Linked DNA regions of Arabidopsis thaliana. The protein of the gene in region 2 interacts with the protein of the main gene of each other region in a pairwise test. Each region holds a gene or a part of one and is shown on either strand. Other genes may lie near its edges.

Evidence for each region.
Region 1: the proteins of AT2G40765 (region 2) and AT1G14340 interact in a two-hybrid assay, tested with the Arabidopsis thaliana proteins (one large-scale study listed by BioGRID).

The regions. Positions count from the first base shown.
Region 1 is NC_003070.9:4,887,613-4,904,848, forward strand, and holds AT1G14340 (RNA-binding (RRM/RBD/RNP motifs) family protein), read left to right. Parts: upstream 1-9,733; 5' UTR 9,734-9,838; intron 9,839-10,082; 5' UTR 10,083-10,096; coding exon 10,097-10,215; intron 10,216-10,306; coding exon 10,307-10,382; intron 10,383-10,467; coding exon 10,468-10,581; intron 10,582-10,738; coding exon 10,739-11,164; 3' UTR 11,165-11,423; downstream 11,424-17,236. Other genes in the region: AT1G14315 (F-box and associated interaction domains-containing protein), read right to left, coding at 1-321; SAC52 (Ribosomal protein L16p/L10e family protein), read left to right, coding at 658-667, 937-1,438, 1,534-1,615, 1,728-1,796; AT1G14330 (Galactose oxidase/kelch repeat superfamily protein), read right to left, coding at 2,763-4,088; AT1G14345 (NAD(P)-linked oxidoreductase superfamily protein), read left to right, coding at 11,564-12,154.
Region 2 is NC_003071.7:17,004,854-17,021,569, reverse strand, and holds AT2G40765 (uncharacterized protein), read right to left. Parts: upstream 9,395-16,716; 5' UTR 9,270-9,394; coding exon 9,153-9,269; exon of another isoform or gene 8,546-9,152; coding exon 8,489-8,545; 3' UTR 8,245-8,488; downstream 1-8,244. Other genes in the region: AT2G40770 (RING-finger, DEAD-like helicase, PHD and SNF2 domain-containing protein), read left to right, coding at 255-1,069, 1,154-1,360, 1,521-1,582, 1,799-2,273, 2,416-2,616, 2,882-3,137, 3,212-3,443, 3,582-3,742 and 11 more; AT2G40760 (Rhodanese/Cell cycle control phosphatase superfamily protein), read right to left, coding at 9,602-9,982, 10,060-10,356, 10,531-10,629, 10,713-10,964, 11,125-11,520; AT2G40745 (uncharacterized protein), read left to right, coding at 12,893-13,306. UniProt on the Arabidopsis thaliana protein: Component of the ubiquinol-cytochrome c oxidoreductase, a multisubunit transmembrane complex that is part of the mitochondrial electron transport chain which drives oxidative phosphorylation.

The DNA.
Region 1 (17,236 bases), on a different chromosome or scaffold from region 2:
GAGGCAAACAAGACCGTCACAACTATTGTGGAAAAGTTGGTAAATATGATATCGTTCTGATGATATCAACAACACGTTAGTTTTAAGTGGAGGAGAATCAGCAGTAACATGATGGGGCAACACCAACGTACTGGGTACTTCAGACACCAATACAAGATTTAGATCTTTCCCGCCAGCTGAGCAGATCAACTGTTTCGCCTGGAAATATTGAGATTCGATTGTCAACTTCCATTGTTTGCAAGCAGACTTGAATCTGAGCAGAGATTTCACCGGAACTCTCTCAAGAATATCCTCAACGGTGTCGTGGGGAAGCAATTGCATTATTTCTCTGTCTATTGAGAGGATTTTGTTCTGAGTGATGGATAACATGAAAGATATGCTTATTTGTATCAATTCAATCCAATGTTGATTTTTTCCTTGAGGAGGAAGATAAAAAAAAAAAAACGTATATACAATCGATGGGCCCTAACCCTATCCCTAACAAATCTCTTTAATATGTAATGCGCTTTAATAGTTAAAGCCCATTAGTTAAAAACCCAGAGCTATATTGTTGACCTAGCAAATTTCGGATCTATAAATTGAAGCCATTTTCTAGGTCATTAGTTTTTTCGTCGAGCAGCCGCGCTTTTTGGCCGAGGAAGGATAAAGAGAGACGCCATGGGAAGAAGTAAGTTTCTCTCGATCTCTTGTGACTTCTCTGTCAGGATTTCTGTGTTCTTCCGATTCCTCCATGGATTTAATTAACCAAATGTTCTCTCTTTGTTGCGATTTTGAGATTCTGCGATTCAGTTTTTCTATTCATCGGATAAATGATTAGGTTTATATAGTTTCTCTTTAGATACCAATTGATTGATTAGGTTTTTATATACTGTGATGATTTTGAGCTATATGAGTTTGGTCTGAGCTGAAATCTGAATAATCTGAATATTGATTTAGGACCTGCGAGGTGTTACCGTCAGATCAAGGGTAAGCCATACCCAAAGTCTCGCTACTGTCGTGGTGTGCCAGATCCAAAAATCAGGATCTACGATGTTGGTATGAAGAGGAAGGGTGTTGATGAGTTTCCATTCTGTGTCCATTTGGTGTCATGGGAGAAGGAGAATGTGTCAAGTGAAGCACTTGAAGCTGCCCGTATTGCTTGCAACAAGTACATGGTGAAGTCTGCTGGAAAAGATGCTTTTCATTTGAGGATTAGGGTTCATCCTTTCCATGTTCTCAGGATTAACAAGATGCTTTCGTGTGCTGGAGCTGATAGGCTTCAGACTGGTATGAGAGGTGCTTTTGGTAAAGCTTTGGGTACTTGTGCTCGTGTTGCTATTGGACAGGTTCTTTTGTCTGTTCGTTGCAAGGATGCCCATGGTCACCATGCTCAAGAGGCTCTTCGTCGTGCTAAGTTCAAGTTCCCTGGTCGTCAAAAGATTATTGTCAGCAGGAAATGGTATGTTCAAAGATTGATCCTTGAATCATTTTGTTGTTTGATTGTTTTATGGATACAAGTAAGCTAACTCATCAAGTCTTTGACTTTTTTTTCAGGGGCTTCACGAAGTTTAACAGAGCTGACTTCACCAAGTTGAGGCAAGAGAAGCGTGTTGTCCCTGATGGTGTCAACGCTAAGGTATTATTGGCTTTACATCAGAATTGTCACTCTTTGATCCTATAGCAGTGATAGTTATCATTGGAAATATCATTTGTTGTTGAATTGAACAATGTTTTCGTTTTTTTTTCAGTTCCTCTCATGCCATGGACCTTTGGCTAACCGTCAGCCGGGAAGTGCCTTTTTGCCAGCCCACTACTGAAGAGTATCAGAACTGAAGTATCCTTCTCATTCCGGTGAAGAAGAATTATAATCAGCCTGAATCTTTTTACTTATCGTTATCTCTGGTGTTGTTTTAAGTTTTTAGTTGGACACAATCAGTATTCTGAATCTTTTTGTGACTCTTTTGTTTAAGCTCTGAAATGATTTTGTTCCTTCGTTCTTGGCCATATATCTTTCATTTGCAAGTTTTATCATGGCTTTAGCTTTAAATATTTTAATTGAAGATTTGCTTGAAAATCGTTGAAGTTTTAGATAGAGATGGGTGATTGCCTTGTTGGATCATTTAGTATGCATAAAAGATTTGAAATTAGCATAGCAAGCCCATCTTAGGTATTGTCATGCAAGGCTGAGAGTTCAAAGAGAAAATGACAGAGACCTACCTACACGTCAAAATCAGATGCAAACTGCCATTTTCCTGATTAAGTCTATCTTTGTTTTTTTTACTTTTCAAAGAATTAATTGCCATAATTTCTGAAGAAGGAAGCAAAAATCCCAAAACAGAGAACCAAGAGAAAGGAGAAAAATTGAAAAGTTTATGGTATTACTTGCAAGCAAAAGATCAAGTTATCTTGCAAACAACAACTATAAGATTAAAAGCTCTTTTTCTTCTCTTATCAGAGAATTGAAAGAAGAACACACAAAACACATAATATAGTCTCTTTGCGAAAAAATGAATGAAACGAATATAAACAAAAATTTTAACAAATAGTATAGCAGAACTGAAAAACTCTAGATTCTGAACTTTCTCCACCAAACTTATTACAAGACCTGTTTCTGTTCTTTCCAAGAAACTAACAATACCACCAAGATGATTGTATCCAATTGAATTCAAATAAATTTCTTTTATAACCAAAATTAATAAGAAAAAAAAGACTGCAACTTTCGACATCTCCAACGGCAGGAGAATCATAAAAATCATCTGAAAGTTATTGTTGAAACCCTTTTATCAGCAACCCATCACCGCGCAATTGTAAACAAAATTCGATGAATGTTTCCTACCGAGCAATGTCCATAGAGGCGGACTTCGATCACTAGATGGTATCCATGAATTCAGTTCAATGTACCCTCCACCTGAACTCCTAGGACCACCAATCACAATCAACCTCTCACCGCAAGCTCTAAACGCTAATCCCCAACCGTTAACCGAGTCAGCTCTTTCGGGCAATCTCCCTAAAGTAAACCATTTCTTACTCTCCTTATCATACTTCCTCACTTCCATATCAGCATGATCAGCAGCATACAATTCGTTATTCACAACCGCAACAAGAGGCGGCGCCTCTGCTGCTGCCGGCATTTCCCGGCTCCTTGGAGGCGACATTTCCGGTATCTCAGTCCATTTCTTCGTCTCTAAATCAAACTCCTCACCACAAGTAAGCACTTTCGAATCATTTCCACCAATTCCTCCAATCACATAGAACTTCCCATCCATGAAAACACCTGAACACATCTTCCTTGGTTTATTCATCTTCGGAAGTGTAGTCCAAGTCTGAAGCTCGGAGTTATACATCTCAGCGGAATCACTGATTTTGCCAAAAGAATCAAAACCACCAGCAAAGATCGCAATCTCTCCTAGACTCGCTGAGCCAAACAAACACCTCGGAGAATTCATCCTCATACCGGAAGACCAAGAGTTAGTCAAAAGACTATATCTATATATAACATGAGAAGAGTAATCATCTTTGCCTAACACAAGCAAATCCGTACCAACAGCTAAAGATTCTTTATCGGCACACATGAATGTAACACCTGAAGGCATTGTAGGCAAATTCATCCATCTTCTTTCAAAAGGATTGAAAGCAACCCATTCCAAAAGCTGACAAGAGAAGTAAACCCAATGTTCAACAATCTGGTTTTGCCTCCTGAGTCTATAAATCTCTCCGGTCTTCACCAAAGACCGAAAACTCCGGTTTAAAGAAGCAATCGAACCGTAACCAGACCTCGAGCAACGAATCAAACAGCTTATAGAATTGTCTCTGCCAATATCATTGATAAGTGAATCGCCATCGCTATTACCATTGTTGTTAGAATCAGATTGGTCTTGTTCTTGTTCATCTTCTTCAATGGCTTCATTCCCATGAATTGAAAATCCCATCAATCTGGGAGACTTGCTCTGTCTGAGCTCATCAACATCATTCTCCAATGCTCTTTTGCCATTGATGAGATTAGATTCAGAGGAATCTTCTGGTTGTGGATACATGTATGGCCACTTTGATTCTGAAAGACGAGAACTTGAGAAAATCCTTGACATCAAATATGTCCGATCTTCCACCATCTTCTCCGTACAGATTCCGATGTTAGAGAAATCAGATCGAGACGAGACCAAACACGAAATGCAAAATGGCTAAAAGAGAGAGAGAGATTCTGAGAAATCAAAAGACGATTAGATGATCCAAATCTCGATTGATAAAAATGGATTCAGAAGGAAAAACAAAAATTTGTCTCTTTATTGAAACATCAATCGCCAAAACAAATTTGGTAGCTTCAAAAGTCAGATCTTTAGATTCCAAATTTGACTCGGAAAACAAAAAAAGAAAACCCAGAAAAACGAATCACTGATCTGAATATGATTCCTTTAGCGGAGAAGAAGAAGGAGAGAACAATGGAGAATCTTTAACAAGGAAGAGATTATATAATAATAATAATAATAATAATAAGAAGAAGAAAGTACTTACGGATTTGGATTAACGAAAGAGAAAGAACAAAAAAAAAGAAGATTAAGAATATTTATTCAATTGTGGTCTGTTGGAAACTCTCTGCGAATCGGAAGTGAAGCGTAATGAGTTTCCTCAGGTCTGAAAGTTAAACTCTTTGGATGTCGAATTCAACTTCTCTCTCTCTCTTTCCTCTGTTTTATTCTTCTTCTTTTTTTTACTTGGGTTAAAGCTTTTGGAAACTTAATTAATTTAGTAATAATGGTTTCTCTTTCTACATGACGTCCGTAGTCCAAATTATTCAGATAAGATTTTCATAAAAGGAAATATTTTAGATTAAAAAATCAAGAAATTCAAAACTGTTTCTAGTTTTGTTTTGTTTTCTAGTGTTTTGAAGTTAATTAAATGTTCTAAAGTTTCAGTACTTTACTTGTTTATTTTTTTCCTCTGGTCAAAGGATGTTAAATTGCTTTGTAGTAAAACTCTATGTACGTCATAGTTTTTATTTCTTTGTTTTTCTACAAATGTACGTCACCAAAAAAAAACAACTTTACGTTTTAAAAGATAGATTTCTGTATGTAACTATTGACAATTTTTGAAGGTAAAGTTGATTTTTGTGAAGCACAGGCTAATTTCCGTGTTCAATATTTTTTTTGATTAATATACAATTTATCTGACCAATTACACGTTATAAAATCCTATATTCCACAAAGAAAAATATTAATATTATCTCTATTGAATTATTTTAGTTGTTTGCTAATACGAAAAAAAAGAACATATAAACGATTTTAACTAGACTACTAAAACTTTTTTTTTTCTTTTTTGACTAGTAAAACTTGAACACTACAATAATTATCTTAGACGAGATATATGAATTTTGGTTTGAAATTGTATCGATGGAATATAATTAGTGGGACAAATAAAGGACGACCTAGACGCATTTCCACGAAATATTATTTAGGAATATATAGTAGTACTTTTTCATTGGAATATAATTATACTTTTTCTGTTCTTCGAACATAACATTTCAGTTAAAAACTGTACTGGAAAGAAGAGGATGTATGTTTATCTGAATAAGCTGAACAGATAAATTAGGAAAACGAGAAAGCTGTCGACAAAGTGATCTAGAGGTTCACGGAGCACGTGTTGACGCACGTGGGAGTATATCTTTGCACATTAAATCATGAAATTAGTGTATTAATACCATTGTTATTACTAGTAGTTTATTACCGAGATTAATGCATTACTTATTTGTTGTCCGTTGACCAGAACTGATATGGTGGGTGGGCTCTTTTATCTCATCGGAAAAAATATTATTCGTCCGTTCTCTTGGACGTGTTGGTTTATCATAATTTTTATTCATCTACAAGTGTTTTATCGTTTAGCTGATGGCCTTTTTCAAAGCATGAGATAAATCTAAATGTAACAAATACTAAAAGATTAGTAAGACACTTATTATTATTATGGATAAAGGTCTTGATCGTACCATATGTTATCTTTACATATTTCACGCATTGATTAGAATTTTGATAAATCATCGAAGCTTAAGTCGCGCCGAAAGATTTTAGCGTGCAACTAAAGGATTATTATATTGCGAGTTGCATCTTGGCAGCTGTAATCCACTCATTAATTGCCACGTGTGAAGGCCATCTTTAAACATTATTTGGACGGTAGAAAAGAGCTTTATCAGTCGTTAGAATTTGTGAGTAATCTAATCAAATCATTTGCATATCTATCTTTCTAAACTGTGTTTTTTCTCTTATTTTGTTATATCTATCTTTTTATTTAGTTTTTGCTTTATCTTCTTAAGGCGAGATGTATGGTATCGTTAACAGTTAACACGGTATTTTGACTATTATCCAAGCTCGTGAAACCTTTTCATAAGTAATTCAAGGTGCAATGAAAATGAAAAAAAAAAAAAAATCGTTGAAGTTGACATCGTATAGAAGAGGTCTAAGATCCATATTTTATGTACTACTTTATAAATAAATTACAAATTTAATCTTTGAGACATTGTGGTGTTAATAATAACCATTTTGTATTTACTGAATTTCGATAATGTTTGTGACGTATTGTTCTATCAAAGTTTCCAAGTTTGATAAGATTTTTGGAGTCAAAGGTCAATAACTATGAATTTAAAATTCCGTTACCTTTCAACGATATTTATCTAATACTATCTCAGCAGAAATGCAGTTACCCTTAATTAATAAAAATATATATATATTCTACAGAGCTGTTTGTATTTTCATATGGTAAAGTTTCATTATCTTTTCGTTTTCAATGAATATTGGTTTTGACTTTTGACCACAAAAACAAAATGAATATTGGTTGGAGAAAGGTTAAATATAAATTTATTTATTTTTGCTTTCGAATTTTCTTCTAAAATTATCGAATAGGTGACTGTTTTTTTTTGGCGTATCTTATTAGTGACTTGTGTCTGAAAGTGAAGTCCTAAGAGCTGTCCACGTGATCTGTTTGTATTGTGTGTTCACATTCCTTTTCTTTCCACATTAATCTCTCTTATATTAAGTGTCTTAATTGATGACTACATTCCTAATTTATATATGTGAAAGTGTTATTAAGAATCTGAGTATTGTGTTACATAAGAATGGGTATAAGATTGCTAAAGAGAATCCCCAAAATTTTGTTTGTATTTATTTTCGAGTAGTTGATATACCTTCTCATGTGAGTTACATTACTTTACGAGCCATTATCCGACGCGTGAAAGCCCAGGCTACATCTGTATTCACAACTGAGGAAAAAGACAAAATTGCCAACAAAAGTATTAGGTTGAAAATTGATCATTACAAGTTGCAAGTTGCAGCACATTACAATATTTTCTTCTCATTACAAAAAATATCGAAAAAGATTTTTTGTGTGTGTATTTGAATAGCTGTTATACCAGCTAATTGTTTTGAATTATCCGTCGTAAGGAGATAACGTGGTGGCTCCTAATACCTTTACTTCTTCTTTTCTTCTCTTTTGGCAATGCCTTGTCATTCAAGTCAACGTCGAATTTCAACACGTGCTCTTCGTAAACTCAAGATTACATAGATTTGAATGTAACTAACTTATCACATCTTATATCTAGTCTTCTAAATTTTGCTGTCTATGGATAATATAACATAATATATGGTATATAAACAACACATTATGATAAATATCTTAAATACATTCACTTTAATGGGATCGTATGAAAACATTTTGTGTTTCTTTTGGTCATAATTGCAAGTTGAAGTATTGGTTAATGCTGACCATCAGGCAAATACGAAGAGTAAACAATACATGATTAACATCTAAGAATTGTTTGTTCTGGTTTCGGCCGTTTTAGTTTTCGGTGGATATGGAAAAATGTGTAGAACAAAAAGGTTCAGAACTCCAGAATTCTACCACACAAAAGAAATTGTTTCAGGTTTGACGCTTATAATTTATGATTTGTGGAACAATGACAAAGATTATCATCGACTAATCTTAGAAGACACTTATTAAGAATCACATATGAAAAAAGCTTACTAGATACAAATAATATAATAACAATAAACAAACTCTATTAACAATAGAGGAAAATTGGGAGATATCAACTTGGAATGTGATATTTGAATCGACTAATCGAGTCAATTAAAGACAAAGAAAATTATGATTTAAGAAAAACAGGTGAGTTTGATAAAACACGTTGTAGTCTTGTTGTAGATCTCCGAATTGACGTCAACTCAATATCAAAATCTTTCACTATGAAATTCAAAATCCGAATCAAAACGTCTAACCTAGCTATAGAATATATACATTAGTCAATGGTCAACCTTTTATATTTTATTGTTATAATCATATATGGTGAAGATAATTGTATTTGGAGGACCAATATTCAACTATTTCCTGTAATTTAGAACATTTATTTTTTTCTTAAATATATGTTTTTTGCTTATATATAGTCGCAATTTTTAGAAGTTCCATAATCCATATACTTGAACTTCTAAAGCTATAGTCGCAAGCACCTTATTGTTGTTGTTTAATAAAAGTTCTAATTTTGGTAGACAAGTGAAAAAACAAAATTAAACTATCTGGTGTTTACATATATGAAAAATATACATTTCCAGCAGTGAATTTTGGTTTTGCATGAAAAATACATAAATAGCAATTCACTGCAGCAGGGGTCAGAATATAGAAACATGAACCACACACATAAAAAAAAAGTAGATTCTGACTAGATCAATCTGAATTAAAAACTAGTAAATTTTGACAGACGGACGTGGCCGTGGAAAGAAGTAGAAAGAGACAATGAGAGATGGAGAAAGAGAGACGTAAGTATTGATTTGGCCAACGGCTCATATGCAAAGAATATTAATAATAATAATGTTCTTTGCGTTTTTTTACCAATTACATCAAACATTTGTTAGGCACACGTCTTTTCTTTTTCTCCTTTTTAGTTAAGGGCATCTCCATCCATGAAAAACCCACAAAGTTTCTCAAACAAAAAAAAATTAATATTATATTATAATTTGATTTTTTGATTAAAAAAATATTTTTATTAAAAAGTTGAATCAATAATTAAAAGGGAATTATCATGATGGATTGTAGAGAATATCTCAGAGTTTCTCAAGTAAGAAACTTTCTACTCTCTCTCCTTCATTTTTATTATTTTTATTTTTTAATTGTGAGAAACTCTTATAAAAAACCCCCAATGAAAATGGTCTAACTTTCTTTTCCGTTGAATTTCTCTCATGTATTAACAGTAACATAAGTATTTATATCACATACACTTGTCAAATTTGTCTCTTTAGAGATTTTAAAAAGTTATCACTTAGAGAACTTTTACCTGTTTGGACTTTGGACGGTTAGACAGATAATATCTAAAATTACTCCAATTTTTATATATACATGCAATACTAAGGTATAAAAAAGGTTCTAGAATGTTAAAATCGTTGCTGAAAAAAAACAAAATCGTCTATAGATTGTTAATTTTTGCTTCTTGTACAAACACTTAGTAATGATTAATGATTTAATTTTAATATGTAAAGACTGATTTTTAAAATAAAAAATAGCATAAGATGAAAATTTATGTTTCAAAAAATATTTGTGATTATGGGTTGTTTGAGACTGGAAAATAATCAAACAACATTGGGCCTTTCATGTAGAATTTTTTATTACATTTAGAACCGTTAACGATATGGGCTAACTCAAGACATTAAAGGCCCAACATTGAGTTACTAAACGGCGCAGTTTTTAGCTTTTTAAAATTGCGTCTTTTTCGTTCACTGAAAAGGTAGTCCTTCTCTTTCCCACTCACATCATCAACTTCATCAATTCATCACCTTTGTCTCTCTTTCAAGCTTCTCTGTGTGTGATCTCCGTTGGTCAACAACAACTACAACAGGTAACTTCTATTCTTCGATTCCTTAAATTTCTTCTCTAGAGCTTAGTGAATCAACGATTTAGGTCTGAACATATTTGGCAATCTGTCCTTGCTCAAATTTCGCTTGAAAATTTCAATCCCAAATCATGTAAAGCTAAATCGGAAAGTTCTATGTAGTTCCCAAAGTTGAATCACGAACTGGAAGTAATTTAATTTATTGACTTAGGATATGTTGAAATTTTTAGGTTTTTTGTTTTGTTTTTAGCTTATTGAGCAGAGATGGATCATCAATTTGGATATGGTGTTGAAGTTACTGGGTTATCTCCATCTGTTACTCATAATGATCTTATCGATTTCTTCTCTTTCTCTGGTACTATCCAAGATATTGATATTGTCAGGTGAGTCTTTTTACTTTTTAGCAAGTTTGTTGTTTGTTTGCTTATTCTGGATTCAAAAGAGTACACTTTGTAATGTTGTTAATGAGACTAGGTCGGGTGAGCAAGCTTGTACTGCTTATGTGATGTTTAAGGATTCTTATTCTCAAGAAACTGCTGTTTTACTCACTGTAAGTGTTAGTTTGGATTTGATTCACTCTTTCTATCTTTTTTGGATGTCTCTTGAGAAATCACTCACTTCTTTGATATCTTCAGGGCGCAACGATATTGGATCAGCGTGTTTGTATAACTCGTTGGGGACAACATCACGAAGAGTTCGATTTCTGGAATGCGACTTCGCGAGGTTTTGAAGATGAATCGGACTCACAAGTATGTATCGCTTTTGACACTTCTCTCAACTTTGATCTTTCTGTCTTCTTTTTTTGTTAAAATAGTTAAATCTAACGGTCACTGGTTCAGTAGTCTTTATGTTGAAGTTTGATGCTTGGTCTCAATTCTAAAGCTTATTCGTTCTTCAATCATGTAGCATTATGCTCAACGAAGCGAGTTCAACGCTGGAGAAGCAGTGACAAAAGCTCAAGAAGTGGTGAAAATAATGCTTGCCACAGGATTCGTGCTAGGCAAAGACGCTTTAAGCAAAGCTAAAGCCTTTGATGAATCCCACGGCGTATCAGCTGCAGCGGTGGCTAGAGTATCTCAACTAGAACAGAGGATTGGTCTTACTGACAAAATCTTTACCGGACTTGAAGCTGTTAGAATGACTGACCAAAGGTATCATGTTTCAGATACAGCTAAATCAGCTGTCTTTGCCACAGGAAGAACCGCGGCAGCAGCTGCAACTAGTGTTGTCAATAGCAGTTACTTCTCCAGCGGAGCTCTTTGGCTGTCTGGTGCATTAGAGAGAGCTGCTAAAGCCGCATCTGATCTCGGTACCCGCGGCTCAAGGCAGTGAATAGACCAATGGCCCGATTCAGAACCGTATTCGTCTGTGAATATATATGATGCAAAGCTGATCATGAATAACTGGCTCATGAAGTGTGATAAGACCAAATTTTATCAAAACGAATACCATATAGAAATCTATCAAAGTATACTCTCACATGATGATGCTGATATAGAGTTTGGTTACATTACCTACATCTTAACTCTTCATTAGTAGCATAATCTTTTTTCTTATATAATTTCTGATTTATATCATTCTATGGTTGATATTGATTCAATATTTGGATAGATGTTGTATCCATAGAGCTTAGGCCACGTGGCACAATTTGCGCCAAAAAATCAAATCCAAAAAACAGAGAAGTCATCATCTTTTCACTCCAAATCTTCCAGTCACTCAAATCATTCTCTCATGGCAGCTTCTTCCTCAATTCCGCCGTCAACCGCCGTAACCTCCGTCGTTCGCAAATCTCTCCTCCTCTCAACCACCTTCTCCTTCCCCGCTTCTTCATTGTCTCCCTCCACGAAACTACCACAAAGACACATTCAAAGATTGCTCCTAGCTTCCTCCTCCGCATCCGCATCCACCGTTCCTTCCGATTCCAAACCGGCGAAGAAAGAAACAGTCTACTTCGACGGCGGAGCTCATTACGGAGATCTATTAGCCAATCTCATTCTAGGTCTAACCATCCTTTGGCTCCCACTAACCTTAGCTGCAGTGTCTCGAGCTTTTAACCTTCGTTACAGGTTCACTAACCTCCGCGTGACGGTTATTTCGGGACTCACCGGAGATGATCGGAGCGATTTCTCGTACAAAGTGATAAAAGACGTTCAAGTTGTGCCGAGGTTCATCGGAGAATGGGGAGATATCATCATTACTTTGAAAGATGGAACTAAAGTGGATTTGAGAAGTGTCCCTAAGTTCAGAGAGATTGCTAAGTACTGTTTATCTATGGCTGATCAACCTGCTGTTTTGAAAGAATCTGGTGCTAAAGGCTTTTGATTATTTCTCATTTCTGGGCAAAATTGATTCTTCTTGTTGTGATTTCTTCAGTACAAATCGAATCCTTTCCATGTTCTTTCATTTGTTATTGATTTCTTCATCTCTGTATTGTTAAGACGATCGTATCTAAACGGCGCGCGATTTTAGCTCTACAATAAGAAACGGCGTGATGTTTGGTTAATGTTGAAACGGCAGGTAGTCCTCTTTTAGATTAGAGAAATGGCATGGATATTAATACTATCTTCTTCTTTTTTATTCATATGGCTGCATTTTAAGAATATAGAGGATTAACAGCCCAAAGTTTGGATTAAAAAAAAAACAGCCCAAAGTTATTTATTAATTATTCAAGTTCAAAATAGCGTCAATTATCTTTAATTTATATACACGTTTATTTATTTCTACTTTTCTAATAACCAAGATTCATCATAAGCAAATTAATCTCTAAAAAGTAAAAACTATCAAGTTTATACAAATGGGCAAACGAAAATGTATAATTTGAATAATGTGCCCACATTAATTTCTATACTCGCATATGAAAATATGATTACGTTTTTTATGGGATAACGGATTCAAATACAAGAAATGGGATTACATATTCAATAGCTTCCTTTGTTAGTACTTTAATTCTAGTAGTTCAAAGACTAATTAATAAGAACTACATATGGTCCTATCTGTTAAATTTGACCATATTAATCTAATAATCTCCATTGGATTCCACTAAAATTTGTTAAAAAAATATTAGTAGAGAATTTCGTAAGAGAAGGTTGATGAGTATGTATAGGGAGTCTTATTAAAGCTTCTGCCTCTGACACATTCTCATCAAATCTTATGTAGTCTTCCCCATTTCCCAATTTTGACCATATTATTCTTGTTTTTATTCTTTGTTTATCATACCCCGTTGTCTTCTTTCATTGTTTATCCTATACGTTTTCTAATCACATATAGGGTGTGATATGGTGAAAGCAAAAAGATGTGGGAGTAAAATAAAAATAGATTTTGGCGTAATTATTTCTGTCCATTTTCTCTAATTGTTTTGTAGCGGAAAAAATTATAAAGTTTTCGACACTTTCAGCTCAAACCTTTTTTTTTCCTTTTTCTGTGAATCATAGGCGAATCTAGAGTAATATTTTATTTTACTCTAACAAATATAACCAATAACACCCATAGTTTTTATATCTCCACTCCAATGATGCACTATTTTTAGAGAAACATCCGAAATATGAATACATTATCTCCAAAATATAGTGTTAGAAGTTGGTTTCGCAATGTGAGTTCATAGAAGTTGCATATAAAGCATAAATATACACCGTAAAGATAGATGGCTCACTATCCACCAGCAACTTTCAATTAAAAAGGAACATTTTGCAGAATTCATATTTCTCTCTTTGTTCCCAAGCTTTATGTCACATTGTTTCACATGCATGGGCAGAATGGGCTGATTGGCACATATGTGCACTTACATGTCCGTGCGCTGTGCGCATCTGTAAAAGTTCATGTCTACATGGTAAACAAGTACGCGTATTGAATACGTACACATACATACCTCTAAAATGGCGTATTCACGAGAAATCCAAAATACAATATGGGATCAATATCCAATATCAGCTGAATTCTTCGGATAACTTAGAATCTATATATAAAGCAAAAACCTTATAATATACTATTAACTTTATCTCAAAAAGGAAAGTGGTTAATTCTGAATTTGGTCAGTCTTTTTAATTTTAAAATAAATAGAAAAAGGGCGGCGCATAGTAGAAGTTTTGTCAAATGTCAGGCTAACACGCATCCTTAAATTGTGCAAGAATGTCTTTCTTACACCCTCCCATTGTTTCCTCATATAACAGATAAACTGAAAAATTCTGCTGGTAGATCATTTTGAATAATTTCAGAAGGATAATCCATATATATGCTAACTTTAACAAAACAGTATATATATAAAGCAATGAAAAGAAATTAGAGTGATCATATCTAAAAGATAAGAAACCTTAGTATAAAGCCAAACTAAAAATAGAAAGGTTAGTGTATATAATATATACAAGGAAAATCTGATGATCAAGGGCACCTTAATCGAATGATAACGGAGGACTAACTAAAATTAAAATGGACATCGGATTCCTGAGACTATATAAGAGCTTTTCGTTGTAGCCTTGTAGGTATAGGAGGAAGTATTTTAAAAGAAGAAGTAAAGCTGGCTCCAATATGAGTGAGGCCCCATGCGATTGTAGGAATCCCAAGCAAGTTAACCTCTACTAAACGTTTATATTTTAAATGCCGGAAAAAATAAAAAATAGTAGTGCGTGTTTTCTGGATTAATTTGAGGTGTGTGTATATTTTGATCCAATTTTTTTTCTAAAAACTAACCTTTTTGTTGTTGTCTATATTACTCTATATGTTTCGGAACTGTCAATATACTGTATTTAAGATATAAAATGTTCGTTAAAATTCAGATATTATGGAGCCTTCATTTTGGAAAATATCATATTTATCGTCTTCCCCTCTCCTCCTCTGCCTTGACTAGAAGAAGTCTAGAACCCAAGAGGTATGGGAGCTGAGCCCTTAAACCAAATGAATCGACTTTTGTTATATAAAATGAGTCCATACTATACGATGTGGCGAATAAAAGATAAAAGGCAACTTAGTGATGATACGAGAGCCGCATGAAACCGAAATCCACGGGCACGGCCTAATTGTACTATAGTATATAAAAGTGTACATATCTATATAAAATATTTTTTTTTTGTTAGAATAGGATGATGGTCAAAAGATATACATTGCATTATAAAATATGATCTAAATTTTGTTCTCTACTATAATTTTAAGTAAGAGTCTTAGAAATTTTAAGTATCTTTTCTACTGTTATTTTAAGTAAAAGTCTAGAAATTTTAAGTATATATGTTTTCTACGTGACAAAATTAATTGACTTAAAATGGTTTAATCCTCTAAAGTTATCATGCATTGAGTGAGTTCGAATTCCTATATAAGTAGAGATGAAATGGTACATGACCATTAGACTAAAGAAACAGGAAGATATAACATTAACGCATAACCATACGTACGTAACTACTACTACCGTACTACGTACGATCTATAGTAACGTGTGTATATAATAATAATTAATACCAATACAATTGTTCTGAAGAATCGTTAAACGGAATCGAATAATCACGTAGTATCCGATCTACGTAGATATAACTCTCTCTCTTTTTTGTTTAATTGTATTTCAATAACATAGAAAATCACTTACTCTTTTCTTTTCAGAAAATCTCAGTTTTCTTCGAAGTCGCTAATTTTTGTTTTGGTTTAACATGTAGACGTAGTGGGCAGCGACGTAGGGAGAGAGAAGAAAGACACGTGGAGGTGAGTGGTATGATTTGGAGACCGCTCCTACTTGGGCATGATGTGATCAGAAAAAGAGCCCCACGAACGTTTTCATCTCATTAAAACTATAATCAATCTCTCTGGGAACTTGGGCCATTCCCTCCAACAACTAACACCATCGACACATACTTTTTGCTGAGTTATTTTGTTTATATATTAATTATGATTATCAATGTATTAATCTTTTGATTATGTTTGTCAAGATATTTTTTTTTGTGTGCAAAGTTTGTCAAAATATTTGAGTCACCACTTTTATTGTGGATCTTCACAAGTTCGCATACTATCCCACTTATCATTAAAACTAACGGAAACTTTTGTAGTAATAGATTATCAAAACATAATATATATGTAGTTTTAAGTATTTCATTCCGATGATTAATTTTAGTTAAGTAGAAGTCCATAAAACAATGAGGATTCACTGTTGGAAAAATAAAAAGAGGATTCACCACTGCTCAATTCTTTTTCTTTAGATGCATGCTAAGTAGACCATACATTGTAGTGTTGCTTTCATGATGAGGATAAGGTTTAATCTCTTTAGAACACAAAGTAAGAAAAAATATATGCCATATTATGCATATGTATTAGTTAATTAAATTAAATTAAATTTACTGTGTTTATGACGAATAATATGACAATATTGTCACGGACTTGGTCAAAAATATTTGCTGCAAAGTCCACATAGGGTTGGCCATAGCCTTGGAAAAAATAGAATATTTTCAATCACTCTTTCTATTTGGACCCTTTGCATATTTCATTAATATGTTTTCAGTCTTTTTTTTTTTTGTCAATAAAATATATTTTCAGTCTTATTTCTCCTAAATTGACGTCGATATAAACTCAACATAATATGGAAATCAATATTGTGTATAGAGTATTTATGCAAATTTATACAATCCGAGAGCTAGTGGAGATAACAGGTGCTTCAAAAGCATTAGGTATTGATCCAATGGGATTGTAGATGTGATGGAAGATGTATGTTCACTCTCAATCACAGTAGATCCAAAAAAAGCCACACAAAATGGCATAAAGAGTCGAGAACGACCCATGTGGTGGAGGGAATACTTTTCTTTCTCCCCTTTTAAAAAACTATCTTGAACATATTTACGAAAACCAAACCTTAACAGATATTTAATGTATACATAATATTTACATGAGTATTATCTCAAATTACTTAAGACATGATTTGCTAATCTCGACTTATACGACGATCTGCTCATCTCGACTTTCTTAAAATGATTGTTTTCCCAATAGAAAAGTTAAAAGGGGGAAAACGTTTCCATTCAATTAAATGATTGATATTCAGTTAATCATTTAACAGCAAAATCAACATCCAATTACACGTTCATGTATCCATTTAAAAAGGATTAAAAGAAGAAGAAGAAGAAGAAGAAGATAAAGTAGTAAAAGAAAATTTAAAAGGCATCGAATATTATAAAGACCTAAGACTTCGTTGGATTAATTTTAAAAGAAAATTAAAAAGTGAATGAGTTTGTAGTAGTAGTGTAAAATGTGAACTAAAAGGAAGGCTTTTGTTGAACAAAAAAAAAGAAAAAAGGAAGGCTTTTACCTAGGGTTCCATTATTTATCATAGACTTTAGTCCTTTTTTGGTTTCTTGTAACTCTATCGGTGTCTGCTTGTGGGCCTTCTCATACCACCGACCCTTTTGCTCCATAACATATATACACACACCTTTGTTTATTTAG
Region 2 (16,716 bases):
CCGTCGATTCGCAATTTCTGAATTTTGAACGAATTCTCTTTCACTTCACAGGTTCGGAATCATGTTTTCATATCGTAACTGAGTTTGTTTTCGTATGAATTATATAACTGGTTCAATAACTATTTTGAAATTGCATAAAGTTTTTGGGTTTGAGCTATGAAATTGCATAAAGGTCATAGCTTGTTTGTGTGTTTTTGAATTTTTTTATCTTGTTTATGAATTCGCAGTACTGAAGTTTCTATTTTAGCTTAGTGATGGGTAGGAGAAAGCAATCCAAGCCCCAGCGTGCAGTGGGTTTGATCACTCCAACTGGTTCTGAATCCGATAGAAATCAATTACCCGGCGACGAAGCTGAGGGTTCAGGGGACAAGAATGTTGAAGATATCGATAAGCCGTATTATGTGAACATATGTTTAAGTAGTCGAGTTTCGGAGCAGCAGCAGAACTTTGATTTAGCTGAAGTTGTTCTAACGAATTTTAGTGTAAGAGAACGTGTAGGAAGTAGTAGTACATTCACAAAACCTATTGAGGTTGATCATGATCTGGATTGCTCGTTACGGTTTCGGCTTTGCAATGTGACTAATTTTGTTGATCGGATTAAGCTTGGTCACTGGCCGGTTTTGTCTTCGAGTGATATAACTTTGGAATTGGTTGATAATAAGGTGTCTGATGATGAGGTTGGGTCAGTGATTTGGTCTGCAAGTTTTGATGGTCCAGGTGAAGGGGTTTCGGGTCTTGCTCATTTGGCAAGTATAAAGTTTTTGACTTTAAGGCTCATGCCTGGTAATGAGGGATTGTTGTCTCCTAGAGTTAGAGTTGAGATGCTTCAGCAGGCTTTTGATGCATGTGATTCTCTTCTTGAGAATACAAGGCAGATTTGGAAAAAGAGTATGATTCATGTCATGTCTTGGTTGAGGCCAGAGGTAATGACATCAGAGGCTAGGTATGGGACAAGATTCAACGTCAAGGATATTGAGTCATCAGTTGTGACGGAAGATGAAACTTTGGACTCTAGTAAGCAGTCTAGTTTTGATGCTGCTGCTTTTTATGAAGCCATAAAGCCATCAAAGTGAGTGAACAACTTTTTTTCTCTCTTTATGTGCCTTAATATCTGATTTTATCTTTCCAACTTATTAGCACAATATCGATTCAGGACGGATGCAATGCTTGGAGATGACATAGCTGATTTGCTCCCAGAACTTAGGCCGTACCAACGACGGGCAGCTTATTGGATGGTTCAGCGAGAGAGAGGCGATCCAATAACGTTGGGAGACAAGGAAGACAACCAATTCATTTCACCTTTGTCTATCTCCGTGGGATTCCTTGACTCTGCTACAAAAATGTTCTTGAACCCATTCAGGTTAGTAGAAAAGAATCTAAGTAGTCCTTTTTAATTTTATTTTGAACTATAAGCTCCTCTCATCGTCAACAAATAGTGTATGTTCTGCTCAGTGAAGTTCCGCCATTTACAGAAGAACTAATTTGTTCTGGTCAATTTGTCATGTTTTGGTTGTTTTTAGTGGGAATATCTCATTGACACCAGAGTATTTTTCACCTCGAATTCAGGGCGGTATCCTTGCTGGTATGAACAATTTGCGGCTTCATTTTGCCTCCATGTACTATATAATCAGAAAATTATTTACAAGGATAATTTTGTTTTGACTTGCTTTCACAAAGAATATTTTCAGAAATATATGTTTTAAGTCGTCTTAAATGCTAGATGGTGTATATGGCTTTGTCTACCTCTAATATTTCTCATGCGTTTCGTTCTTAATGTGGTAAAGTACGAATGCTGCAGATGAAATGGGATTGGGAAAAACGGTGGAACTACTTGCTTGTATCTTTTCTCATCGAAAACCAGCGGAGGATGAAATTTCTGTGTCTAATGGTTCATCAGTTACTGATGTTTTGAACGCTGGCTTGAGAAGATTGAAAAGAGAACGTGTTGAGTGCATATGTGGAGCTGTCAGTGAAAGTCACAAATACAAAGGAGTTTGGGTACAGTGTGACCTTTGTGATGCTTGGCAGCATGCCGACTGTGTAGGTTATTCACCTAAAGGGAAAGGTAAGAAGGATAGTCAACATATTGATGAAAAAGCATCTCAAAAGAAGAGCAAAAAGGATGCAACGGAAATTATTGTCAGAGAAGGTGAATATATTTGCCAAATGTGCTCTGAACTTCTACAAGTCACTGCCTCTCCCATCTCTACGGGTGCCACTCTTATTGTCTGTCCAGCTCCTATATTACCGCAATGGCATTCCGAGATTACACGGTATGAGATTCTTCTCTCCCTTCTGTTATGTTTTGACTAGAGGAACACTTAACAAGATGGCTTTCACTAGACGTAATTTTTTGTGTATCTCCACATCATGTAATGTGAGTCCTCTTTCCTTCTTTCATCTGTCATGTTGTAGCCATACACGCTTGGGATCTCTCATAACATGTATCTATGAAGGTGTGAGGAACGCCTCACTTTCTGAAGAACCTATGATTGACATTACTGAACTTCTCAATGCGGACATTGTTTTAACTACGTATGATGTCCTTAAAGAGGACTTGACACATGACTTCGACAGGCATGATGGTGACCGGCACTGTCTTAGATTCCAGAAAAGGTGTGATTAATTATATTTAGGATTCTTATACCTCGCATTTTTCATTACATGATGAACTTTTGTCATACCTGATATATTGAAGAAGATGAATTATTAAAATATTTCTAAGAATTTGCCAATATAGATTAGTTCCATACTCATGTACTCAGACGAGCCATATTGAACAACAGCAAATTTAATCTGACAGGATTTTTTTTTATCTCCTGGTTTCCTGCAATTGAATAGCTTTTCGGAGAGATTGAGTAAAGATTTCATATTGTGATAGGTACCCTGTTATTCCGACTCCACTCACCAGAATATTTTGGTGGAGGATTTGTTTGGATGAGGCCCAGATGGTGGAGAGCAATGCAGCTGCTGCAACAGAGATGGCGTTGAGATTATACACCAAACACCGTTGGTGTATCACCGGAACTCCTATACAACGCAAACTTGATGACTTATTTGGACTATTGAAGTTTCTTAAAGCAAATCCTTTCGATGTTTCAAGATGGTGGATTGAAGTTATAAGAGACCCATATGAGGTCGAGCAGGAAAAAAAAAAACATTTCTTACCTTTTATAGTTTTCTTGTCTAACAACCTTCTTGATTTGTTCAGAGGCGAGACACAAAGGCCATGGAATTTACGCATAAGTTTTTCAAACAAGTTATGTGGCGTTCTTCAAAAGTCCATGTGGCTGATGAGTTGCAACTTCCACCTCAAGAGGAATGCGTCTCGTGGCTTAAATTTTCCGCAATTGAAGAACACTTTTACAGTAGACAGCATGACACTTGTGTGAGTTATGCTCGTGAAGTTATAGAAACTTTGAAACGTGATATTCTCAAAAGAGGTACCATGGGGTGCACATAGTGTCTTCAGCACTTTCCACTTTTGTCTTTTATTGCCTCCAAAAGTTCACTCTCAGAAGTTTGACACTTCCTTCTGTACTGGCTGCTTAAGTTTCTATCCAACTTGTGATAATCTACAGGTCATACTTCTTCTGATAATCCTTTAGTCACTCATGCTGAAGCTGCAAAACTGTTGAACTCGCTCTTGAAATTGCGCCAAGCTTGCTGCCACCCTCAAGTAGGAAGTTCAGGTTTACGCTCTTTGCAACAAAGTCCAATGACCATGGAAGAAATTTTAATGGTGATTTTGCAAGATTTAGCGTTTTAATCTTCGTTACTTATTTGTGCTAATTGAAGTTTTTCTTAGGTCCTTGTGAAAAAGACCCAGAGCGAGGGAGAAGAAGCTCTTAGAGTGTTAATTGTTGCATTAAATGGGATTGCTGCTATTGCCATGCTTAAGCAAGAATTTTCTGAAGCTGTGTCCTTATACAAGGAAGCATTAAGTATAACTGAAGAACACGCCGAGGATTTTCGTCTTGATCCATTGTTAAATATTCACATTCTTCACAATTTAGCTGAGATACTACCAATGGCCAAAAGCTACGGTGGAAAACTTTCTGCATCAGGAAGGCCTGAAACAAAAATAGATGTAAAAGATGATGATCATCATCGTGCATCGAAGAGGCAAAGGATCAATGAGCTCGAGAGTTTAACTCATGATTCTTCAGAAACTGTACATCAGCGGGAAGCTATTGCTCCAGACAATGGTTTAAAGAAGGATGGAGAGTGTCATGAAGAATGCAAAACTCTGGATATAGTTTGTGACACACTGAAGGTTAAGTATTTATCCGCATTCAACTCAAAGCTTTCTGCAGCACAGCACGAATTCAAAAAATCATACAATCAGGTATTTTCCACAAAAATATTTATATCTTTTTTTCTTTAATCTCAAAAAGCTACTTGTACCCTTAGCCTAAGTGTAAATATAATCCGTTTAAATTAAGTTTCAAGATCAGGCATGTTAAATATTGAGCATCACTTATTTTCCTGGAGCTCGCTCTCTGTGACACAATGCTAAATGGTTGAAAAACTTTCAAGGTTTCTGAGTCGTTGAGCAATATGGGGAAACAACGTTCAGTTTGGTGGTTGGATGCCCTGCAACTTACTGAACAGAATAAAGACTTCTCTAGCGAGTTGACAAGGAAGATTGAAGAGGCCCTCCATGGAAACTTAAACAATTCAAGCTCCTCCAGAGAGAGTTCTCGGTTAGTGCTTAAAAATTTGCAGTTTTGTGAGCTTTGTTTTTGCCAGAGTACTTTCTCAGCTTTTAGTCACAAATTTGTCTGTGATATGGGGCATATTTTCTACATGTGTCCGCAAAGTTATTAGAAGAAGTGACCTAAGAGACTGGTTAGCTTCATTAAAAGACTAGATTGATTACCCTATAATTTCAGTATCATATGTAGTGAAAGTCTTAGCAATAGATCATTATATTCAATCTAATCTCAGATGTTTCCTGATTTGTAAGCAGACAGTATTCTAGGAGCACATAACTTGAGTACGTTATGAACTAACTTGCAAATTCCTTATTCCAGATTTAGAACTATACATGGCATGAAACTTCATCTGCAGACGTGTATGGATATGCTGGAGAGATCTAGAAAGAAAGTGATAGATAGGATTCTAGAAATTGATCAGACTATGGAGAAACCAAAGTTGGAGGATATTGAGCGTATTAGCAACTGCAAGTATTGCAATAAGAATAGTGATGGCCCCCCGTGTATTCATTGCGAGCTAGATGAACTATTCCAGGTTTGCTCTTTTTTGCTTCTGCACTTATATGAACTTAAATCGATATTAATATTAGCTGTCACATCATCATGTATCAAAAAATCATTCCAGGAATATGAGGCTAGGCTTTTCCGTCTTAACAAATCTCGCAGGGGAGTAATGGAAATTGCGGCTGCTGAAGAGACGGTACATTTGCAGAAGAAGAGAGATGCTCGTAATCTTTTTTTATTTGGTTTATCATCAAGAAGCAAGGATCTAAATGCATCACGTGGTGATGACGAGGAGCCAACCAAAAGAAATGCTGGTGACATTGTGGTTGTAAGTTACTTGATCTAGTTTGGATTTGGTATTACTTCAAGAAGTCTTTGAATTCATTACTGAGAATAAATCCTAACCACATCTCTGTTTATTAACTTTATTGATACGGCGTTCTCTATTTCCTCTTTTGTTTAAAATCTTTTGAAATGTCAAATAATATGATTTTGTAATGATCGTCGCAGTCTGATAAATATTTCTTTTATGTTCTTATCATAGCTTTCAAAATCTCCATCTGAGACGGAAATAGTTCTTGGAGTGATAAGAAACCATTGCAAAACTCATTTAGATAGGGAAAGCAAATTGGCAGCTACAAAACATTTGCATACCCTTGAGGTATTGCCTGAGAGATCCCTTCTTTGCTTACATTGAGAAAGGGAAAACTATTCCTTCATTTTTGTAACAAGATCTGACATTTCCAATTTTGCTTATCTAATTAAGGTGATGCGAAAGGAATATGTACATGCAAGGGTCTTAGCTAGGGATCAAGCTCAACTCCTACGTGCCTATGATGAGATTAACATGTCAACAATGAGACTACAGCTTAGAGAATCGGAAGATGACACATCGATCTATGCTTTGGGCCGGGACGAGTTAGATGTTGCTAGTGTGCTGAACACAAATGACAAATTTATGGCTCAATCCTCGTTGCTTAGTATAAAAGGGAAACTTCGTTATTTGAAGGTAAATCTGTAACCTTAGTGTGTTATTAGCCTGACCTCCTATTTTTATCATGCCTATAAGTCATTTATATCTGTGTTACTATTAAGAAGTTTACGTGGATAGTTACACTTGATCACATTTGTTTTGCAATTCCAGCTCCAGAGCTCTACCCATTTCAATTTTTTAGTCACGAGAAGCTATAGTTATGTCTTTGTGGCTAAGTTCCTTTTTGTGAGACTTTGGATCGCTGGAAAATATCTGCTTGCTTTCCCTCTCTTTCTTTGATTTTGTATCCAATATTGAACAAATCTTTTTTCCGTTGCAGGGTTTGATGAAATCCAAACAGAAACAAGAATCCGAGAGTCCAGATCTTTCCTCACCAATACATGAAACAGTCGATGCTTCGGATCCTGCTGAACAGGAAAGCGAAAACCTGCTTAAGAGAGATGAAGCATGCCCGATTTGTCATGAAATTCTAAGGAATCAGAAGATGGTTTTCCAGTGCGGGCATTCCACTTGCTGTAACTGTAATTACTTTGACCTTTCGATTGTTTGTTTTTCAGCTTCGAGTTTTAAGCATTTTCTTTGTGTTCCATTAATCTACTATATTCTTCGTGAACCTAAAGAATGTTACCCATATCTGCTTCTTTGTGTTTGTTCACACAGGCTTTTTTGCTATGACTGAGCGCAAATCAGTTCAAGAAACGCTGCAAAAGTGGGTGATGTGTCCAATATGCAGGCAGCATACAGATGTTAGAAATATTGCATATGCTGATGATAGAAGAAACAGTTCTTCGTCAGATCAAGATCACAAAGACAGTGAAGCATCATTGGTGGTTCAAGGTTCATATGGAACAAAGGTTAGTCTCCTTGCTTCTAAGATCAGTGCACAAGAAGTACTTCTTTTTCTCATCTATTGTTTTGGGGGTAGATTGAAGCTGTTACTAGAAGAATCTTATGGATCAAGTCAAGTGACCCACAAACGAAGGTTCTTGTTTTCTCCAGCTGGAACGATGTTCTTGATGTGTTGGAACATGCCTTCGCTGCAAATAGCATCACCTGCATCCGGATGAAAGGGGGCAGGTAATGTAGTGAGAATTTTAATGGGGAGTCTGTTAAAAGTGGCACATAGGTAGCCTAAGGGATGCATGTAACTTTTATTTTATGGAAATGTAGGAAATCACAGACAGCCATTAGCAAATTCAAGGGATCTGAGAAAGAAACCCAAAAGACAAACTCCCATCAAAAAGAGGAAAAATCGATTCAAGTGTTATTGCTTTTGGTGCAGCATGGTGCCAACGGTCTTAATCTTCTAGAAGCACAGCATGTTATTCTGGTGGAGCCACTTCTAAATCCAGCTGCGGAAGCGCAAGCTGTTGGGCGTGTTCACCGAATTGGACAAGAGAAGCCTACTCTAGTTCATCGGTTTCTGGTTAGTGTATCTGCTTTGTTTGCCACCTTGGTCTTGTACAGCTTCAAGATCCTGCCTTATGTGATTCACTTTGATCTTGACCTCTCTTTTTTGGGGAACCAGGTATCGGGCACAGTGGAAGAGAGCATCTACAAACTGAACAGGAATAAGAATACAAACTTAAGTTCATTTAGCAGCAGGAATACAAAGAATCAAGATCAACAGTTCTTGACACTAAAAGATCTTGAATCTCTATTTGCTTCACCAACAGCAGAAACAGCAGAGATGGAACAAAACCCAGGAGAGAGACAGGAGAATCTGAGAGATCTACCACCCTCAGTCGCTGCAGCATTAGCAGCCGAGAGGAGAATGAAGGAAAGTAATGCATCCTCATCAACTACAAACGCATCATGACTATGGAAAAGGTTGCAGAGAGATTGGTTCCAGCCAAATGTTTGTTGGAGCGTCTTGTTGTATGCACATAAGATGGTGAAGAGAGAAGCTGCTCGAAATAATACTTTCTCTTTTGTGTCGTCCACGTTCATTATGTAGGTTAGGCAAAGGATAAGCTCTTTTATTTATTCATTGTATTGCAACAGACATTACTGCGTTAGGTCTTCTATACTTTGACATGGAAATAATAACTCATGATAAATGCAAAATGGGTTCTCTTTTCAAGTAACTTGGAGTAAGTGCTTTTCTTGTTTGTTATAACATTTGAGAAGACAAATCAGTCAACTACATTGAAGAAATGAAACCAGAAAGCCCCAGAAAAGAACCAAAATTTATTCAGCTCCACGCCAAAGAGGCGGTAACAAACTTAGAAACTGGAAAACTCTTCACTTAGTCTTGAATCTTGGTGATATCTCACTTCTCTTCAGTTGGGGGTGGGTCAATGAATGTCTTCTTTATCCAACCAAATGGCTGTGATGATAAAGAATGTGTCAGATACAATACATTATGAGTTTGAAAAGAAGCTTAGTAAAATAGGGTCACTAGCAGCTTAAGGCGCCTAATCTCTTCATAACACCAAACCAAGAGCAAATTGTGTCTGTAAGTGATGAAACTAATTCATGAAGAAACAAGCTCATGTATCAGTCTGAAATAAGTGCAACTCTATCCTCCTTAAGATGTTAATGGCGTGAAGCAAGGATCAATAGAAGCTAGGCATTTTCTGTAGAAGACTAAATCAGAATGTAAGTGAAACCAATAGTACAAGGAAAACGAAATGAAGAAGATTTGATCACCAATTCAAGAATAGACTAGCACCAAAACGAATCAAGCCTTTCATGAAACGTAATTATATGCAACGATGCTCATAAAAGTAACCACCTTTATAGATAATCTAATGAGATCAAAGCAAGTAAATTTGATAAATGGTGATCAATTATGAAATTTTCATCTTTCAACCAGATAAAGCCAACAATTTCACCAGAAACATAACATTAGCTAGAGATAGAGATCCCAGATCAGGACCATAATCCGTGAAAACCAATCTATGGCCGGAAAACAAGAGATCGAGATAGCTTACTTGGACGACCCAGATGGCACCGGCTGCGGCGGCGATTCCCCATCCAGCGGCGGCCTGAATATCAATCGTTTGGATCTTTGGCTTCACTGCGTTGAGCAATCCAGATGTTCCTGCCATTACTGCTTCAATCTCTCTCTCACTCTCTCCTTCGCTATGAAATTCGATCAAACCCCACAGAGATCCTTAACGAAATGACGATAATCAATTCTGCGGAATTTTTGACATTAAAAGAGCTTCTTGACCTAGTCAAACGTCAATTTTACACTTCCTGCCGTTCTACTTATTAACACTTGAACAACGCGCCGTTTCTAGTCGTTGTTTCTAGTCGTTGTTTCCGATATGCTTAAAAAAATTCAAGATCATTGCCTCATTGATTAGCGTTTAAACTCTTTAATGTAAGTATGTAACAATGCAAATGATTTCAAGAAGAAGAACAAAACAACATCATTCTATATTGAAGAACCAAGCTTTGCATTGATCTTCTTCCTTGGACTATCAGGTTTAGTGGCGGGTCGACGACCTTTGTCCGGACCACCAATTACACCCCATTCCTCAAACTGTGTCTGCCTTGCTCTTGCCCTTTCTTTCTCCTCTTCTGATTTCTTGGAGTAACAGTAAGGGCAAGAAACTCCATACTCGTACTCTGGAGCTTCCATGTCTTCATCACTTATAGGTTGCTTGCATCCATAGCAGAGTTTATGTGTTCCTTGAGCTAGACCATGTTCCACAGATACACGTTTGTCGAACACAAAGCATTCCCCTTCCCATAAGCTCTCGGTTTTAGGGACTTCTTCAAGGTACTTTAATATCCCACCTTTCAGATGATATACCTGATAACAAAAATGCTTTGATCTTTTAAGTACCTTTGAAACCAACAGAACAATGGTTAGATGTTGTGTTAGGTTACCTCTTCGAAACCTTGGCTAAGAAGGAGGCTTGAAGCTTTCTCACACCTGATTCCTCCAGTGCAATACATAGCAATTCGTGGCAGCGTCTTCGGTTTTTCAGCTTTGTCTTCTTTATGGGTGATTTCAGAAAAATCCTCTTTCTCCACCTTTGCTTGCGTTTCATTGCCTTCTTGCTTCAATGCAAATTGATTCTCCACCCAAGATGGGAAATTTCTGAAAGCTGTGGTACATGGATCCACAGCTCCTTTAAACTTCCCAATTCTAGTCTCATAGGTATTACGCACATCAATCACTACCTGAAACACAATAGTACTTAAAGATCTGATATCATCGATCTATCTACCAGAACATTTAATCAAGAGAGAGCAGAGAAAATGAGTCCTAAGTGTATAAACAGTTATCAAGTCTTTATTCAAATTTCACTGAGTTCTTGACTAAACTTGCTACAAGATGGTAAAAAGAGGACTCACAGTTTCTGGATCACTGATCAGTTCGTTCCATTCTTCGGGACTCACATATGTTCCAACTCTTTCAATTGGCGAGACACTAGGAATTCCAAGCGTAACAATCTGCACAGACATTGCAAAAGAAAACAACTCTTGACAATCCACAAAACTCCTCCAGTCTCAACTTCAAAGACTAAAAAGTGTACCTCTTTCTTAAGTTTGACCCTAACATGATCCCATCTAAATGGAGCATCTTCACCAGCTGCAAGAGGAGAGCTACTACTATGTCCATGGTGAATTGCTTCTTGCTCAGGACTCACAGGTGTCTCCACTTGCCTCAAACCATTTAACCGGACATCTCTCTGTATAAATGCCAACACTTCCTCCACTGATTCACGAATCCCACAGATACTTCCATTTATCCCTTCTGGTGCAAGAATGATTCCACCTGAAACACGCTGGTGAAACAAGACAATCCAATCTACATTAGTGATTAGTGCCTCAAAATCTAAACCAAATTTTCATGATCAATACAAACACTCGTAAGTAAAGACTTAACCTTTCGTAGACAGACACTAAAAATCTACACTTTTGAATGAGATAGAAGAAACGCCATACCAATTTTTCGCAGAGATCCTTGAGAGGCTTCCTGAAATCAGCATGCTCAGGAAAATCAGCGAATTTGTAGAATGAAACTACAACGAGCGAGCCTAAATCCGAATCAATAGACTCTGTTCTCTCTGAGAATGCCTGAGAAACAGTAGCCATGCTTCTCCGTATAGCTCCGGCGTTTGAACAAGCCACCGTGGATTTCAGAGAAGAGGAAGGAGAGGAAGAGAGTTTATGGGGTTGGGATTGAGGGAATTGTAACTCGGGTTTGGAGTTTCCACCGACTGAGTTCGAATTCACGCCGCCGCCGGAGAATGGAGAGTGTGAGTGAGGAGGGGGTGGTGATGAGAGCATTCTAACGACGGCGAGGGACGGCGGAAATCTCCAGTGGTAAAACCGTAGCATTGGGGACCCAATTCAAGCAAAGTCTCTGGGAATTCAACCAAACCGGACTAAACCAAAACGTAGGTGTTTCCCGTACGAGACCGATTCATCATCTTAGCCATTCTTTTTCGTTTTAAAAGGTTTTCAGTTTTCAAATTTTATTGTTTTTTTCTTTATTCATTTTAAAATTTAAACTAAAGAGAATTATATACATATGATTTTTAATTTATGCAATATCAAATATGTTACGTAAGTTAATAAATTTTAATCGATTAATTTAAAAAAGTAATAATATGAGATGCATATAAATAAACCGCAAAAATAATAAACAAGCCACAATTCGATCTTAATTAATTAAGCATATATACTAAAAAATTGTATGAATATGAGATATAAATATACAAACCGCAAAAACAATAAACAAGACAAACAATATATATATATATGTAGATTATTAATAAAATAAAAAGTAAATGAAATAATTAGTATTTAGTTATAAAGTAGATATATATTGAGTCAATAAATTTAGTGTGAACAAAAACTTTAATATATAAATTAATAAAATGGAAAGAGTTTCATAAAGTTTCATTGAAGAAAATAAATAATTGATAGGTGGTGTTAACCATGGAAGATGTTCTAGTTAATTGCTAACGATTTTTGGATTAGTGACCTCTCGTTTAGGAAATTACAAAAGAGAATGAACAAAAAGCGACAAATATTTGAATCCACAACATGTTTTTTTTCAATAGGAAATCAATCTTGCAAATGAATCTATAGGTATATCCGTCCTAAAATAAAAATGTATGTTCGGAATATGCAAGATTTCCAGTAAGAAAGAGCTGTATGTGTCGAAGCTTATATTAGGTATTTTATTTTCGTTTCTTAAAATATGATTATCCTAACTTCTTACCATGCATTTTGTAGCTATCTTACTAGTTTACTTTCAAGCCATAAGATATTGAATTTTGTTCAACAGCATTTAATATCTTACTGCATTTTTATATAGTTTTGACTATATTGGGGTTAGGTTTTTGAATAGTAGTCAAATATCATAACTAAGAATATGACCAAAATAGATATTATATAGAAATAAATCTCTAAATATGATATTTCATTGTTTTTAGTATTTGAAATGGTATTAAGAAACATTCAATTTTTTTTATTATTCAAACAACATTTATTTCTCATTGTTTAGCATCTATTTTTTCTTGTTTATAAACAAAGAATTACAACATGAAACACGTGCATTTTAACATAAATATATTTAGAAAATGTCGAATTTCGTGAATTAGTGAGAGAAAAAACCACAAAAACAATTGTTGAGGTGTAGTTAAGTTGACATATCAATCACACATATTATTCTACTCAGATTTATTATTTGAAAAGAAGAAAAATGCGAGGGAAAAAGATAATAATCACAGGTGAAGATGTGAAGCTACTTGTGAATATCTTTGGTACAATCGGAGTCACCAATGGTCGCCCATATCAATACAAGGTTGAAGCTTGGACAAATGAAAACGAGAAACATGAAACAAAGGTTGTAGCAACCGAAGGAGATCCTGAGTTTGATGAAGAATTACAACTTTTTCAAGATCAGAATTTTCCCGTAGAATCTTTATATGTAGATGTTTTCAAAACGAATTCAACTGGTACCTATTTCGTTGGGAGAAGAGTCACATTGTTGCCAACGGTTAAAGGGGTTGATTTTTACCGTGAAGTTAACCTCTCTGGTCCTGAGGAAACCGGATTTCTTCAATTGTCACTTACTCTCATGGAATTTGAGATACTTGGTTATGTTCCTTCATGATTTATCATCTGTATGTGGTTGTGAATTCTTAATTTGATATTGTTATGAATAATGAATAATGCATACTGATAATAAGTTATCATAAATTAAATCATGCATGTTTGCATATGTACTAATGATAATATGAATAATGGAATTCAAGCAAGTTGTCTTGATTTATTTATTTGGATCTTCTAATGACGATTGAATGTTTTGAGGGCATCTCTTCTTCTTCTTGATGAATCATCATCATCATCGATGGCTGTGTTGGAATGTTGACATTAATCTAGTTAACGAATAATGGTTCTTCTTAGAATCTTTTTTTTTTTTTTTGTATATTTACTAATGATAATATAAATCATGGAATTCAGGCAAGGTGTTTAACGAGCTATATCATTAACAAAAAATTAAATGTACGAAAAATATTGTGTTTAAGTCTCTTAACTTCCAACGATTTAATGCTTTGGAATTGGAGGCATTTAATCTTAAGTTTTGAGGATTCGTGAAATAAGGGTGTGTTTGCTAGGTAAAGTATGATGTTTATTCGAAACGTAAAAATCCAATTTTATAATCAACAAGGTAAAATTCCAACAAATTTTCATTTTCTTGATGTAGAACCCAAGAATCATTATTCAGCAGTTAGCAACAAGGACAATCAAGTTTTAATAATCATTGATTGGTTTGCTTCATCCTCAATTTATTTTCTCCTATTTATGATTAGATGTCTTCTGTTTAATCAACGAATGGAAATTTGACACGTGTGAGATTATTTATCAGTGTTAATAGTAAATGCCAGCTGGATTGTCTAACACAGTCAAAGTTGGTTGACCTCTAACACTAGATTTTAAATTTTGACCGTTGATATTAATCTTACGCGAATCAGTTTACATCTTAGTCGTTTATCAACAAGACCTTCTTTATATAAGTTGGAATCACCCTTTGTGGCGGTCGTTTAGCTCAAATATTAGTAACTGTTTTTATTTTTCCGGTAAATGTTAGAGAATGGGAAAACAAAATCTCTCAATTTGTAGCTAAAATTTTGATTTTACTTTTACTTAATAACTAAATGTTCATACGTAGATTTGTTAACATATTCTCCCGGGAGGCAACATTTACCCTATTTATAATAAGTAAATTTGCTAACCAATAGAAACGAAAACCTAAAGAAAGAGATTATTACTATGGAGCGGAAGGTTGTTGGAGATCTGACGGAGTCTTCATTGAAGATAATTTTTGTTCTTGATAAAGGTACCTACGGCTCGTGTCTAACAAGAATGATTCAAACTTGAACAAATCATACATGAAGAAGACAAGTACGCTCAAACATTCCGAGAATCTCGAGAGGAGCTTAAGACCATGCTTCACTTCCACGCCAATCCTTTCTCATGGTGTGGAACCAGACTAGATTGTGCCGGTCTCTTCGTTAAGGTCGAAATCTGTTGTAGAAGTCGTCTGAGAGATAGCCATGTCGGGGCGGTAATTCTGAACTCTAGAAGTAGGAGATGACACCCATGAGGAAGATGATAACAGGAATGAACGAACTCATCATCTCTAGCAGCAAAATGAAAACCAAGATGCAGAAGAAAACGAGCAGTGACTTTGGTGTGCTCTTCCACATTATGATGCCATCAACCACATCGCCACACCAAGATAGAGAACCCATAGTTCTGCTATAGTTAACCATGCTTCTACGGATACTCCATAAATAAGATTCCAAATTCAGGATGTAGTCCAAATATATCTCGTGAAGACTACGTTTGTTTTTAATCCCAATTTTTGAAATATTGTAATTTCTTTTTAACATATTTGGTAATTTAATCTAGTTAGTCATTTACATTAGCCATACAAAAAGAATTATTAGTTTGTATTAAGTAGTGATAGGATAATAAACATGTGAAGAAGACGAGGAACGAGAGTATCATGTTAGGAAAAGAAGATGCAGAAGGCGACTCCTTATAACATCAATAGAAATACGATAATTCTTCTTCTAAATTTTGGTTCGCTGTGTGCATATTTTGTCTATGTCATATAACATTTTTTTCTAAGTTAATGTTATGCTAATTTGTTTGTCTTTTCATATGTTTAAAGATTTTTCAACCATGTATTATATTGTAAACTCACGTGGATCCACCACTTTTCGTAGATGTATGAAGTAATTTGAACAAAAACTTACAAATATTAGTTTTATAATCTTAAATATATATATATATATATATATATATATATAATGGTAGCATATAATGGTAGCATCTTTAAATCATTTGTGACAACTAAATAATATAATAAAATATTGTATTTCCTCTGTTTTATTATTATTTTATTTTATAGAAAAAATTATTTCTAAAATATTAATTTTTTAGATTTTCTATGCAATATTAATTGGTTATAATTGATGAATATCAAACTTCAAGATAAATAATTAAATATTAGTTTTTAATATGTTTTTTAAAATATATGTGTTTAAAAAAAAATCAATTATTAAGAAACAAAAGAAGTATTATTTACCTTTTATAAATATTAAATAAAACAATATTTTTATATAATAAACTACAATTATTTGTATAAAATTTGCCGTTTACAAATGTAAATTTATTTCGAGCTAAACTTAATAACTAAAGAGGACAAAAAAAGATTTTGGAAACGTGATATATGTGGTACATGCCGTTTACAACGTATTGCGTACATAATTATATATTTCTAAATTAAATTTAAAGATTGGTGAAGTGTATCAAAACCATTTGTGATAATACTTGACACTTGGTAACTGTATCACCACTTTAATTGAATCTCAAATATTACGATTTTTTTATCAGTCAGGTTGACTTAAATATAACAAATCTATAGACAATATAGGTAATAAATTTTAAGTTTCTTATAACTGGCACGACCAGAATATCCATAAACGAGCACCGGCTTTTGTATATGTTTTAGGAGTCATGTCTTTTAATTTTAGAGTCCCTTCTTACATTGAACGACCTTTTGGCTACATATGTAGACACAATCAATAGTTGATCATAAACAACTTTATATATGTATATATATATATATATATATATAGATATTTATATATTTATAACTTTATAAGACAAAGAGTGGGTTCAGATTAGTACTCACAGAACTCAAACAATAATAGAACCGATCAACTAGCCAAAACAGAAAAGTGTTCCTAGTTGAAATCAAATGACACCTAGAAATAAAACAAATCACTAGGTTACAAAAAAAACGGTTTAGTACAAATTAAAACTTGATAGTTTGAGATCTGAGTAGTGATCGCTAAATGGGATTTAGTTCTAAATACATTAAAGATTAAAAAAAGTAGAGGCTGCCGTAAAATTAGTGGGGACTAATTAAGAAATAAAATAAAGTAATAATGACCATAATTATAATTTATATAACTATGAGTTGGATCTAGTTGAATTATTGACGTTTTC